Macaca mulatta: one gene and its partners. The protein of the gene in region 2 interacts with the protein of the main gene of each other region in a biochemical or structural test. Links are inferred from orthologs where the notes say so. Each region holds a gene or a part of one and is shown on either strand. Other genes may lie near its edges.

Region 1 (4,560 bases), on a different chromosome or scaffold from region 2:
GGTTTGGGGGTGGCTCTGTCCCCTGGGGTTTCTGGGTGATTTCCTGCTTCTGTCCCCAGGGAGTGCTCTCAGTCAGAGGCAGACAGATGAGGTAGAGGCTCAGATCTCAGGGTGGGGTGTGCAGGTATTGCTGTGTGTCCTTGGCCCCCCCTCAGTCCCTCTTTGAGCCAGGCTTTTTGCCTGTCCTGCCAGGAGGTTACACTCGGGTCTGATTTGACTGCGGCTCTCTGGTGTTTTTGTGGGGCTGTTCCACCCACTCCTCCATCTGTCAGGGAGGGTTAGGTATCTTCCCCTGAAGACAAGATTGTGTCTCCGAGGGACAGGACCTATAGTGGGAGGTCCCAGGTGGACTCTAGTACTGAAGGAGAAGGGGGTTTGGGTAGACGGGTGGGCAGGACGTGGCTCTGGCTGATTTACCTGTCCACCCTTTCCTGGCATTTGATGCCTGCTGACCCCAGGCCAGGCAGTAAGCAGGGAGGCACCTGGGTCCAAGCTAGCTCTGCCACTGTTTGCTTTGAGCCTCGGTGAGTCACTGTCTTCTGAGCCTCAGTTCCCTGTTCCTGGAATGAGGATACCAGTTTTTAGGATATGATCAGAGTCAAAGACATCAGATTGCACTCAGGAGATAGTCCTCTCAGCCACTATCTGGGCCCTCCTCAGGTCCTGGCATAGGAGGAAAATCCTAGGGAAATGGAAAACCTCAGAGGTGGGTCTGTAAGAAATACCAGAGTCCTCTCCTGAATGGTGAGAGTTTGCAGATTGTATCCCCTCATCTCTTTCCCCACCCCAGGTACAGCAGCAAGAACCCACAGTTCCGCCCTTAACCCCTTCCTGGGGATCCCTGCCCTGCTGCCTGCCTGTGTATCTGCCAGGTGTCAGACCTATCTGCCCTAGGTATTGTCAGTCTGCTTGGGGCTCGTTGCCTCTCCTGCTGTCTCTCTTTGCTGCCTTCCTGTGTCTGTGGTTGGGTTCCAATCTCTCTCGCCACTTGATAAGTGCCTGACTTCACCTGTTGGGCACATGTCACATGTTAGGTGCCTGTTGTTCATGTCCCCTTCTGTCTCTGCCTGTTGGGTTTATGTCTTCATCTGTCTCTGCCTATTGGATACATGTCCCCTTCTGTCTCTGCCTATTGGATACCTGTCCCCTTCTGTCTCTGCCTGTTGGGTTTATGTCCCCTTCTGTCATTGCCTGTTGGGTTCGAGTCACCATCTGTCTCTGCCTGTTGGATACATGTCCCCCTCTGTCATTGCCTGTTGAGGTTTGTTTTTTTTTTTTCCCAAGGCAGTCTCGCTCTGTTGCCCAGGCTGGAGTGCCCTGACGCGATCTTGGCTCACTGCAACCTCTGCCTCCCGGGTTCACGCCATTCTCCAGCCTCATCCTCCCAAGTAGCTGAGACTATAGGCGCCTGCCACCACGCCTAGCTAATTTTTGTATTTTTAGTAGAGACAGGGTTTCACCATGTAGGCCAGGATGATCTCGATCTCCTGACCTCGTGATCCACCTGCCTTGGCCTCCCAAAGTGCTGGGATTACAGGCGTGAGCCACCGTGCCCAGCCTGCCTGTTGGGTTTATGTCCCCTTCTGTCATTGCCTGTTGGGTTGGAATTCTCTTCTGTCCCTGCCTATTGGAGATGTGTTCCTTCTGCCTTTGCCTGTTGGGTTCATGTCCTCATCTGTCTTTACCTATTAGGTACATGTCCCCTTCTGTCTCTGCCTGTTGGGCTTGTGCCCCATCTGTCTCTGCCTGTTGGGTTTGTATCCTTATCTGCCTACACACATTGGGGATGAGTCTCTGTCCACCTCTGTCTGTTAGATATGAGTCCCCTCCTGCTTCCCCTTATTGGGTACACATCTCCATCTGTTTTCTATTGGATATGAATTCCTCCTGCCTCTGCCTGTTGGGTGCGTGTCCTTATCCATCCCTGCCTGTTGGGTATGTGTTCTCTCCTGCTCCTGCCTGTTGGATGCCATTCTTCTTTTTTTTTTTTGAGACAGAGTCTCGCTCTGTTGCCCAGGCTGGAGTGCAGTGGCATGATCTCGGCTCACTGCAAGCTCCACCTCCCGAGTTCACACCATTCTCCTGCCTCAGCCTCCCGAGTAGCTGGGACTACAGGCGCCCGCCACCACACCCAGCTAATTTTTTGTATTTTTAGTAGAGACGGGGTTTCATTGTGTTAGCCAGGATGGTCTCGATCTCCTGACCTCATGATCCGCCTGCCTCGGCCTCCCAGAGTGCTAGGATTACAGACATGATGGATGCCATTCTCATCTGTTTCCACCTGTTGGGTGCCTGCTTCTGCCTGTTGAGTGTCTCTCTTCATCTGCCTCCACATATGAGGCACCTGTCTTTGCCTGTTGGTTACCTGTTTGCTGTTGGGTACCTCGCTGCTGTTGGGTACCTGTCTGCTCAGCAGCTGCACTGGCAGAGGGCTTTCCCTTTGCAGACCCACAGGGAGGATGGGGGAATGGCCAGAGGGCAGCCCTCGGGCACTGAGGAGTGGGGGAGAGAGAGGAAGGGAACGTGGTGAGGGTGTAGGCCTGGTGCTGGGAAACCACAGGCCCTGAGTGATTGGCTCCCTTGGGCCGGGCCCAGCCCCCGCCCTCACCCTGCACATCCGCCTTGGTCCCGGCCACCACCGCGGCAGCCCCGGACTCTGCCTGCTCCTGCCATGGTGCCGTGGCCCTGCTGGGCGGATGGAGCAGGATCCCAAGCCGCCCCGTCTGCGGCTCTGGGCCCTGCTCCCCTGGCTGCCCAGGAAGCAGCGGCCCAGGATCAGCCAGACCTCTCTGCCTGTCCCTGGCCCTGGCTCTGGCCCCCAGCGGGACTCGGTGAGTGTACCCAGATGTCTGGTCCTGGCCTGGCTGTGTCCCTCGCAGCAGGTGCCTGGGAAGCCAGCTTAGCGTAATCTGGCTTTGGGCTGTCCTGGCCCAGGCCTGGCCCTGCGGGGTGACTGGACCCTGCCCAGACTTGCTTCCTGGGTAAGTGAGGAGGTACTTCAGGGCTTCAAGGCAATGGCAGCAGATTAGAGGGAGGGTAGAGTCCTGGAATGGCTAGGACGTGGCAAGGGGCTTCTAGTAGGTTTGTATGAAGGAAGTTTGGGAAGATGAGCCATGCAGTCTCTGGCCTTAATTCTGACCTGCCCCAGGCCAGCACTTACCAAGTTGATGGGGGAGTTTGGGTGACTCTTGGGTCTTTGTGCACGTCAGCCCTGTCCTACTGACCAGAGGGATCCCCTCATCCCATCCTGACCAGGAACGAAGGCCCAGCTCTACCTCCCCATATGAGAACAAACCTACTTCCTATTGTGGCAACCCTAAAGCAGCAGGGGGAGGGAAGCCCCACAGGCAGACCTGGGGCAGGTCTCTGGGTCTCAACCGGAGCCTGAGGTTGACTCAGCCTGGCCATGCCTGGGCATCCCTTTGGGCCTAATCAGGCCAGAGCATCGGGAGCAATAGGAGTGGTGCCTCTTCTGTTTGACCTCCCCAGCCTTTGAGGCCCTTTTGAAATCAATGACCTTGGAGGCTGGCCCTTCAGGGAAGTCGTCTGTTGGGCCTTTAGGTCTCATCTGCTGAGGTCTGGTGGGAATGGCCTTGGGCAGGGGAACTCCTGCTGCCCGGATGGGGCCCACCATGCCCACCAGCTCTGTCCCTCCATCAGGATGAGGGCGTCCTCAAGGAGATCTCCATCACGCACCACGTCAAGGCTGGCTCTGAGAAGGCTGATCCATCCCATTTCGAGCTCCTCAAGGTTCTGGGCCAGGGATCGTTTGGCAAAGTGAGTCATGAGCCCGTGGCTGTGAAGGCAACCCTCGTCATGTTAGAGGTGGGGGTCAGTGGTCACCTAGGGGCCCAAAGGATCAGAGGTCACCTTGGTACCCAGGGAGAACAAAAAGACCAGCTTGGGGCTCAGAGAAGATGGAGGTCAGCCTGGGCGCAGACCTCTCCCATCTTCTGCCCTTGCTTCCCTCTCTGCCTTCTCAGGTCTTCCTGGTACGGAAAGTCACCCGGCCTGACAGCGGGCACCTGTATGCTATGAAGGTGCTGAAGAAGGCGACGCTGAAAGGTGAGTAGGGACACCTCCCTGTGCAGAACCCAGGCTGGGCTGAGGGAGGCAGCCCAGACTTCAGGGGCCTTGGGTCTGGCAAGGGAGACGGCTCTGTCTTCAGGAGCACCTAGTTCAAAGGTGGAGAAACAGGCCTATTTCTCAGCCATCTCTCCCCACCCAGTCCCCCTCCCCCTAAGCCAAGTGCCAATGACTGGCTGTGAAGGTCTGGAAGGTGGTAACAGGGTAAATGTAATATGTTTGTCAGAGGGCAGGGCCCTCAGCTACTTAGCTGGTTAAGCAGAGGCGTTCTGACTGTTGATGCTAGCAGAGTCTGAGGGAGACCTCTGTGGCCCCTAACTCAGGGGCCTGAGAGAAGGGTGTGAGTGAAGAGGCAGGGAGCCCAGGGAGGCAGCTGGGCCAGGCGAGAGAGGGTGAGTCCAGGCAGGGCCACAGAGCTGGATGGCAGAGAGGTTCAGAAGGGAACCCTGGGCCAAGATTAGAGTTCTGGGGACT
Region 2 (4,763 bases):
GAGGACTGTACTACCAATGCCTAAAAGAGTCTGGGACGCATAGTAGATACTTAATAAGCATGTTGAAAGAATGGACAAGAGGATGAGAATGTGGTTTAGAATAATCCCCATTGGAAAACCTCCTCAAAGAGCATGTCCAGTGGATTGGGTCATCAATGTCATTTTTCTAGGTAAATACTGACCCTGAGGAGTGTGTTCTACCTAGACTGGCTTGACTTTCTGAAGGCATCCATAGTTACAGCCTTTACAACAGTTGAACTGCCAGCAGCGTTAAAGAGGCTTTCAGGTTTTTTGTTTGTTTGTTTGTTTTTTAAATCATCAATGCTTTGTAGGTGACTACAGAGATTTTCCATCATTAAAAAAAAAAATTAGTTCTGGAATGAATAACCACAGCTTAATTCAATCTTTTGCTTACCATCTTCTGAAGCTTTCCCACAGCAAAATGCCTTCTTTGCTCACAGCTAGAACCGTGGGTCTGTTTAAGTTTGGAAAGATCTTGAAAGCAGCTTGCCAAGAGGTTTTGTATGCAAGGAAGAGAAGGTGAATTAGGAAACTTTCCCAGTTTGTTTTATTCCTGAAGCTTAAGTATTGAGGCTTCCCTCAAGTATTAAGGGAAGAGAGGAACTCATTTTTAAAATGCATGATTTGATGAGTCATTGGGTTCAATTAATTTGATACTTACACTGTAACATTATTAGAATAGGGGAAAATAAGATATTTAATACTTTTAAGAAAGATTTATTAAGTTTGGGAATAAGGTTTGCATTTTGGTCAGTGTGTATATATATATAGAGAGAGAGATGAATGGGATTCGTTCCAGTTACATGTAAACACTCAATTTAAGAGTCTTCAGGGTAGAATTGTCATGCTAGGATACACCAGCAGGTGGCAATGTGTCCTGGTCTCATCATTAGGAAAGTGCCTTGGCTAATCTGCTTCTATTCTTTCCAAAAATAAACATTACAAAATTAGCTGGCTGTGCCTTGAACCTAAAAATCGAGCAATAAAGAGTCGTCTCTGGCCTCTGTTTATCTTTTCCTTTTTTTTTTCCACCCCCCCGTTCTAACTAACGTCAGTGTGAGCTCATGCCTCTATTCGGGGATAATGATCCTTTCATGAACTGTTGTGGAATGACTTTTTGCAACAGCATTGTTAAGAGGTAATTGTTTCCTCTCTCCACATCCACTGTTTATTAGATTTGATTTGCTACTTGGATTCCACAAAATGGCTGAAATTCCTTGCCACCAACATAGGTTTACGCTCAAAAGTCTGAAAATAGTTGGATAAAGGGAATAGCCTCTTTAGACGTTTGCAGGCAGAACTGAAGAACTGCATTATACGTGGTACCTAAATTGCCATAATACTGAATTATTCAATCATAAAACTAGATGGGTATCTAAATCTCTCTACCCAGAAGGGGAAAAAAACGAAAAAACGTTTGGAACCCTTCAGAGAGAACCGTAATGCTATTTACTGGATAAATATACTTCATTTTCTTCTCCCATTTCTTTCCACAACACACTTGTTAAGTCGCCATGCAAAGCACCATGCCTTCTCAATTTGGCAAATAACACATTTCATTTTGCCAAGGCAAAAACAGCCTAAAAGCAATATTTATACCGAGAAGCCCTGGCTGCAGTCCCCAGCTGCTCTCCCTCAGCCCTGCGCCTCCCGCTCCCGCCGCGCTCTCCCCCCGGAGCCGGCAGGTGCCCAGGTGAGCGGGGCCTGCGGAGGCAGCGAGGGGCGCCGGCCGGGCACTGGTAGAACGCTTGCAGCCAGAAGGCAGGAGAGAGAGTACATTCCCTTAAGGAATAAAAGTTTCCAGGACAAGGGGGGCTGGTAATTTCCAAAGAGCCTCCCAGCACGATGTCCTAGGGATCTGGGGGGCGCTCTCAGGAGGTCTCTGGTGAAAGTAGACTTAGTACAAACTGGCCTCGAAAGACAACGTCTCGGCACTCAGGGGCCCAGGCGCCGCGGGAGGTTGGTGGGCCTCCCGGGGCTGCACGGGTCCCACCTCCCTCCGCCCCGCAGGACTACTTTTCCGCTCCCCCAAACAGGGCTCCGGCGGAGGCGTCCTTACAAGGGCGGGAGCGCAGCCCTGAGCGGCGGAGGGATCCCGGGTGAGGCGGCTTCCCGAAGTCAGAGGGGAGGGGGCCAAAAAAGTCGGCGGGGGACGGGAAGCGCGAGCTCGCGCCGGACGCGGCCAGGGCCGGGAAGCCAGAACCGGAACCGGAACCCGCGCGCGCGCCCGCGTTTGCGCGGCCCCCACCGCCGCCGGCCTCCTCCGCTGTCTGCGCGCGCTCCCGCGAGGGCCTCCAGAACCCGGCGAGCCGGCCCTGCGCGGGTAGAAGCCGCCGCCTCCGCCTCCGCCTCCCGGACCAGGGCTTCCAGGCCGGGCCGGACGGGCATCTCCCGCCCCTCGCGGGGAGCGTCGGGGAGGAGCCGCCGCCTCTGGCGACTGCGGAAGAGTCCGGGCCTCAAAGGGATGGGGAGCAGCCCGCGGCGCTGAGAGACCGGGGTCCCTGTCACCTCGGGCCGCGGGACCCTCCCCCGGCGCCCGCGGCTAGTCCCAGCACCGGGAGCCTGGTGGGGGCGGCGAGCAGAGGAGGAGCCCCGGGCCCGGGACATGGAACCGCGCGAGCCCGGCGCGGGACGGCCGGAGACGCGGCCAACGCTGCGGCCAGGAGCAGCCGGCAGCCCCAGATAGAGAGCCGGGAGGGAGGGCCCCGGCCCTTGCCGCGGCGGGGAGTTCGAGGCCCCGAGACTCCGGAGGAGGAGCCGACACCCGTCCCAGAGCTGATCCCGCCCCAGCCCCGGCGGGAGTCGCGGGTCCCCTTCCCACGGCGCGCGGACTTCTCTCTCTGAGGAAGTTTCTCCTTGTGCCTTCTGGAGGATTTGTCGCTAGCTCGACTCACTCTGGACTGACTCGCTCCCTGGCTTTCTCAGTTTGTTTTGGGAGATAACTTGTTTTCCTCCAACCCGCATCCGTTGACCCCTTCCAATCGGATGGTCTAGATGACTGAATGGAGTTTTGAGTTGGACTTTTGTGTCCCTGACGGAGTTGGGCCTGATCCCAGAGCACTGGGGGTGGGGAGGAGGTGTTACTGTAAAATGCAAGTTGGATAAAAGGAGGACCTCTCGCCAAGGGCCCCAATGAGTGGCACACAGTCTACTATCACCGACAGGTTGGTATGAATTCCTCCTTCGCTCGGCCTCCCGGAATCGGGCCCGACCTAGCAGGGGAGTCAGATTGTCTTTGGCCAGCGAAGTTGACAGGCAGAGGAAAGAGGGTTGTTTCGGAGCAGTGCAGTTAGCCTGGGGTTGCTGCCGAGTTATCCAGTTGATTGGCTTTTGGAAATGTAATTTTTCCGGAGAGAAACTTCCCTCCCGATTCTCAGAGAAGGGGGAGGCAAAACCATTATTGTGGTTTTCCGCCTGTAGTGTGCATTAGGATTGTGTACTCGTCTGGAAATCAGAGGAGAAGGTCATTTTGGGTGAAGGTCGGTGCCTGAAGTCGGCTTGGTATTGGTGTATTATTTCTCAGCTTTAGCCCTGTCCTGCAGTAGGTTCTCAAGACAATTACATTTTATGAATTTCTACCTGTGAACTTAATGTTGAGCCTACTGCATGGTGACCTGGGAACTTGATCTCTTTGAGATGTTGACCTGCACAGTGTTTAATTATTATCTAATAACTTTCCAGAATGTTGACATTACCAGTAAATCACAGGTTCTTGCTGGAAGCAATGTCCAGGAGCTGAAGAAATGAGGGTAAATCATGGGATTTGCTTTTAATTCTTGTATTTAAATATTTCATCTTCCAGAAACACTTGGCGTTTAAGAGAGATAAACCGTAAGCATAGTATAAGCGCGCAGCTGAATTTGTTGAGTTCTGTGTCTGTCCTTTATAGCACTTACCAGTGTTGCATGGTGGTGTGTGGCGAATGGAGCTAGACCATGTGTGGTTGAAGTACAGTTTGCTTATCCTAAGTTACTTTTGTTTATAGGGCAAGGGATAAAAAGTATATTGATTCCTTGACCACATTTCATTTCTCAATTTCATTATGACACTGCATGCCAGTCCGAAATGTCAGCTTGCTTTATTTTTAAGTTAATCTTCAAATTATTATATCATGAAAAAATAGATCAAGTAACTGAATTAGAGGGTCAAAGCTCTTTGATAAAAAGTGCAACAATAGTGCTTCTGCACAAAGTAGTCTAATTTCCTAATAAGAGTTTTACCCAATTGTAAGACTCATTTGTTGATTTTAAAAGGGCCAAATTCCATTATCATACCATAACAGCTACTCCAGAAACAGAACTTCCTCTTCCTGTTGATGCTTTCCAGCATCACATGAATGTTCACTTAAAAGAGTCCGTTAAATATTTAAAGCATTTATATTTACTCTTTGTGTATTTTTCAAAGTGGGTTTTCATTTTCAATGAAATAATTTTTAACTTTTCCAAGAATACACTTACTGTAAGTATTGACAATGCTTATCTTGCTTTCTTCTGGTTATCCCCATTTTTCCCCTTTCAGGGTGTTTCATTTCTGAGAAGTCACTTTTACCGGTGTGGGGATAATTGTTTTCCTGGTTCATTCAATTACGGCTTTTTCTGTTGAGCCTGTAAACAAAAGTCTTAGTAGGAACTAATGTAATGTTGGTTTTCATTGCGATGCTGAGGTGTTTAATTTATAGAAACAGAACGAACTCATTCCACACACAAGTGACTTAAAAGCCCTCAAGTAATGATTTTTCTTCA
Region 3 (4,012 bases), on a different chromosome or scaffold from region 2:
TTGTCTTTGAAGGCACCCACCTTCAAAGACAGATGAATGCCCGAGTGACAGGCAGTGTCTAACAACAAGGGAAAGCCAAAGGCTAAATAAGCAAGACCAGAGGCTACTCCAGGACTTGATCTTGAGGGGCATTGGTTACTCTGGATCGAGGCAATTAACTGGAGACATCTCTGAATATGTCAGAGCTCGGGGTTGGGGGGGGGCCCCGCAACCCGATTTGTGCACAAGAGGGGCAAAAGACAGTGGGAGTGCACGATGTGCACCGAGTAGCAGGTGGAGGGCGGACCATGCAGACAGCTCCCTGCTCCCAGCATGTTCCACGGAGAGACCAGGCTGGGAGTGGTGTCACTAGGAAAGCATGAGCTCTATTCCCTAGGCAGCTGGTCTACTACGCCACCTGCCAATGATCGCACGTTATTTAGCAGGCAGACCTCAGTCTAAGGGTTGTGGCCCTGGGTGTCAGACCCTTTGTCCATAAAACACATCTTCTCCACTAGGTTGTGAGGAAGGTGGCAATGGGGCCACCCGGATATACCGTACCTGCAGGCATAGTCCTTGCAAAGACAAAGTTGGAGGCGCTGCAGCCCAGTTTCTCAGCCTCGTGGTTGCAGCTGTGGATATCAATGCGGTACAATGTGAAAGGCCGAAGGTTAGAAATGACAGTTCTCTCCTTATTATCCACTCTGCTCTCAAAGAAAGGGTACTCTGTCTCTAGCTCTTCCAGATCTGTGATGTTGTAGGTGTCTGCCACCGTGGTGTTCCTGCTTCGGCTGGACATGGTGGTGTTGGCCACTTGCATGACATCTCTCCGCTTCCTTTCAGGTCTGCAAGGAAGAGATAAATGTGGCTTTTAAGTGCTTTTACCTCTTTCGTCTTTTCTATGACTTGAGTAAGAGTAACAGAAGAATCTTAACCATGGAATAGAAGGAGCTATTCAGCCCCCTTGGATAAGAACGCATGAATAACACGGGGATGTCCTTCCTCATTATCTTGCTTTTTCTACTATGCAAGTGTCAGAATGGGCACACAAACTCTCACCCCCACCCCCTGGCTCTCAGAGTGGTTCTTCGATTTTACCTAGAGGCAAACAGTGTCTCTGCCATTCTTGGCCAGGCAGTCCTGGCTGTGTCATCAGAACACTCAAGCCATCTGGTCACAGACCTTACGGTTAAGCATTAAAGGTGGCAAACCTACCAGCTGCGCTAAGATTTATTAGGGCAGGAGGGGAGAGGTGAGGTGTGTGGCAGAGGCCCCAGAGACCTGGGGCAGAGGGATATGAAAGCCTATGGTGGTGGCTCCTTGGATCTGCTCTGACTGTGGAAATAAAGATGCCTGGAGCCTAGCAACCCACGGACCTCAGGTCTCTTCTTGGGGGCTTCTGCTGCGGGCCCACCCCCAACCCCAAGCATCTGTGCTTGCTACACTCTGCAGGTCCCTGAAGCCCACCCAGGCCTCCTCCCAACTCAGCAGTGAGCACCTGTGGCCTCACCAAGGTCCTGCCCACGAGAGGGCAGAGTCTTTGTCATGGATTTGAATGGAGACTGGAACAACCAAAAAGCAAAAGGGAGTGCATAAAGTCATCACAAAGAGGACATTCACACCGAAAAGGGCAGATGAGGCATGAGGATGTGACCCTCTAATTGCTGCTTTGGTCAAATACGAAAAAATGGGCTTTGTGGCTCCCCCTAGAAACCTTAAAACAGAATCCTAATGTTTACAGGAACCAACAAAAACAAACAGAATACGAGAGGAGCACCCAGATGGAGAAAGGGCAACCCTCAGGTCAGCCACGGACCAATGGTGAGAAAACAGGGCTGAGGCCTTTGGCTGGGGTCACTGGTCTTAGGAATAGGCAAAAGGCAGGGAGTAAATGGGATGAATTCCATCTGCCCAGGGAAATGAGAAAGTCCAGAACATGGGAAGCTCATCAGTGCCATGGAGGGGAGAGCGGCAGCAGCAGCAGACAGGGAAAGCTCACACAGGGAACGGAGCAGCCCAGAAGCCACTTGCAGGTTTGGCTGACGCTCGGCAGGTTTCTGGCTGGTCCTTAGGCCAGAACCTGGGAAGGGGAGAGCAGGGGGCTTGGGGAAAGGGCCTCTGGCTCCCTAGTCTTCTCAGCCCATGGATTCCCCTGAGGAAAACATGGTCCTTCTTTGTGTAGTGGCACATGGGGGTCCCACCAAAGGCATAAACTGCCCAACACAGACAGGTTCATTCCAACAAGCAGAAAACCACAAGGTCAGGGCATGTACATTTGCTTTCACAATACTGGGGGAGGAAGGGTAAGGACATGAGGCTGATTATCCACAATCCTCACACTCTGCAAACCAACCAACCAGCTAACCAAGCTTCCTGGAAGGGAAAAACACAAGAAACCACATTTACTGCCACAGAAATCTTTGTCAACACATCAACAAATTTCCAGCCCTTCCTTCAAAACCAACACAATATACACATGTGTCTGTCAGAAGTTGCTTAGGTTTGATGCACTGCAAAATAATTCTGTGTCAAAACCCCTCTCCTAGCCCGGCCACCACGTTTAACAGGGATTACATCATTAAGTATACTCAGTAGTTTACTTGTTTATCAACACCACACTTTTAGGGATTGCACAGCTCTCAATGCTGATGACATCAAGGCAGTGACAAGGGGAGGGAGGTGACACAGAACATTATCTGGAAGGCAGGAACAGGGGAAGCACAATGGCCCATACATCATTTTTTGGTAAACAACTACATTTCCAAATCGTGTGCCCAACAGCAAACATTACTGCCAACTTTCCCCGCTCCACCCCATGATACAACCTAGCCCTATTGGAAAACCTTTTACTTTCCAACATCTGTCAACATTTTAGCTAGTTAAACCAAACTATGTGATTTACAAAATAAAGACAGTAGTCAAAGAAAGGCATTTACTGCCAAATACTGACTTCAGAAACTGGTTTTACAAACTCTAGCTTCCACTCTACTTCAAAACATACAGGATATTCTGGACAATTTATAAGGAACTAAATCTTACTTAACTGGTTTTATCCCACAAATAAATTATTCTCAGAATGAATTGAAAGAAATCAAATCTGTTTTCGGACATTTCACTTGTAAGATAGAAAGCCAGCCTTTATGATTCAATCATATTGTCAGCTGGACACTCCTTCACCCAACTCCGCCAGAACTCAGTAGGAGGCAAAAAACAAACATTAACTTCTTATAAAGCATGGCCTCTCACCATGAACAAAATATTGTCTTTATATACATCCATGGAAAGGAGAATCATAAGTTGGACTTGTCTTAGGAGAGAGAAAGGAAGGACTGGGGGGACAGATAAACACACTTCTCAAGTGGAATAGAGGAAACTTGTTTTGAACCCACCACCACCAATGCTGTGCATTAATAACATCAGTGCCAATCGCGGCTCTGCCTTCACACATCACATAATCTTTTTTTTTTTTTTTTGAGACGGAGTCTCGCTCTGTCGCCCAGGCTGGAGTGCAGTGGCCGGATCTCAGCTCACTGCAAGCTCCGCCTCCCGGGTTCACGCCATTCTCCGGCCTCAGCCTCCCGAGTAGCTGGGACTACAGGCGCCCACCACCTCGCCCGGCTAGTTTTTTGTATTTCTTAATAGAGACGGGATTTCACCGTGTTAGCCAGGATGGTTTCGATCTCCTGACCTCGTGATCCGCCCGTCTCGGCCTCCCAAAGTGCTGGGATTACAGGCTTGAGCCACCGCGCCCGGCCACATCACATAATCTTGTGCTCCACATCTGATGAGAAAAAAACAGGTCTTGCCTTGTAACTACAACTGAAAGCAAGGGGCCTTTCAGCAAAATCTTTCCAAAACCTTGATTCACAACCCGAACCTCCTGCTGGTTGGTGGAACAAGACAGCAACGTAACCAATGGCCTTTGATAGAGAATAAACAAACTTCCCACCCAGCCTGCTTGGGACACTCTAAATCCATCCTTCCATGTGGCGGGCAGCAGGAGCTGCCACAAGTTGAGCCTCTGCTGGTCTAG

Evidence for each region.
Region 1: the proteins of ARHGEF12 (region 2) and RPS6KA1 interact in a test that uses a peptide from one of them, tested with the Homo sapiens proteins (2 studies listed by BioGRID and IntAct, with this or other methods). The link is inferred for Macaca mulatta from reciprocal best matches to the Homo sapiens genes ARHGEF12 and RPS6KA1.
Region 3: the proteins of ARHGEF12 (region 2) and IGF1R form a complex in vitro, tested with the Homo sapiens proteins (2 studies listed by BioGRID and IntAct, with this or other methods). The link is inferred for Macaca mulatta from reciprocal best matches to the Homo sapiens genes ARHGEF12 and IGF1R.

The regions. Positions count from the first base shown.
Region 1 is NC_133406.1:214,442,024-214,446,583, reverse strand, and holds the start of RPS6KA1 (ribosomal protein S6 kinase alpha-1), read left to right. Parts: upstream 1-1,629; 5' UTR 1,630-2,696; coding exon 2,697-2,831; intron 2,832-3,660; coding exon 3,661-3,777; intron 3,778-3,983; coding exon 3,984-4,065; intron 4,066-4,560. UniProt on the Homo sapiens protein: Serine/threonine-protein kinase that acts downstream of ERK (MAPK1/ERK2 and MAPK3/ERK1) signaling and mediates mitogenic and stress-induced activation of the transcription factors CREB1, ETV1/ER81 and NR4A1/NUR77, regulates translation through RPS6 and EIF4B phosphorylation, and mediates cellular proliferation, survival, and differentiation by modulating mTOR signaling and repressing pro-apoptotic function of BAD and DAPK1.
Region 2 is NC_133419.1:121,022,931-121,027,693, forward strand, and holds the start of ARHGEF12 (rho guanine nucleotide exchange factor 12), read left to right. Parts: upstream 1-1,678; 5' UTR 1,679-3,153; coding exon 3,154-3,185; intron 3,186-4,763. UniProt on the Homo sapiens protein: May play a role in the regulation of RhoA GTPase by guanine nucleotide-binding alpha-12 (GNA12) and alpha-13 (GNA13). Acts as guanine nucleotide exchange factor (GEF) for RhoA GTPase and may act as GTPase-activating protein (GAP) for GNA12 and GNA13.
Region 3 is NC_133412.1:89,164,938-89,168,949, reverse strand, and holds part of IGF1R (insulin-like growth factor 1 receptor precursor), read right to left. Parts: intron 825-4,012; coding exon 541-824; intron 1-540. UniProt on the Homo sapiens protein: Receptor tyrosine kinase which mediates actions of insulin-like growth factor 1 (IGF1). Binds IGF1 with high affinity and IGF2 and insulin (INS) with a lower affinity. The activated IGF1R is involved in cell growth and survival control.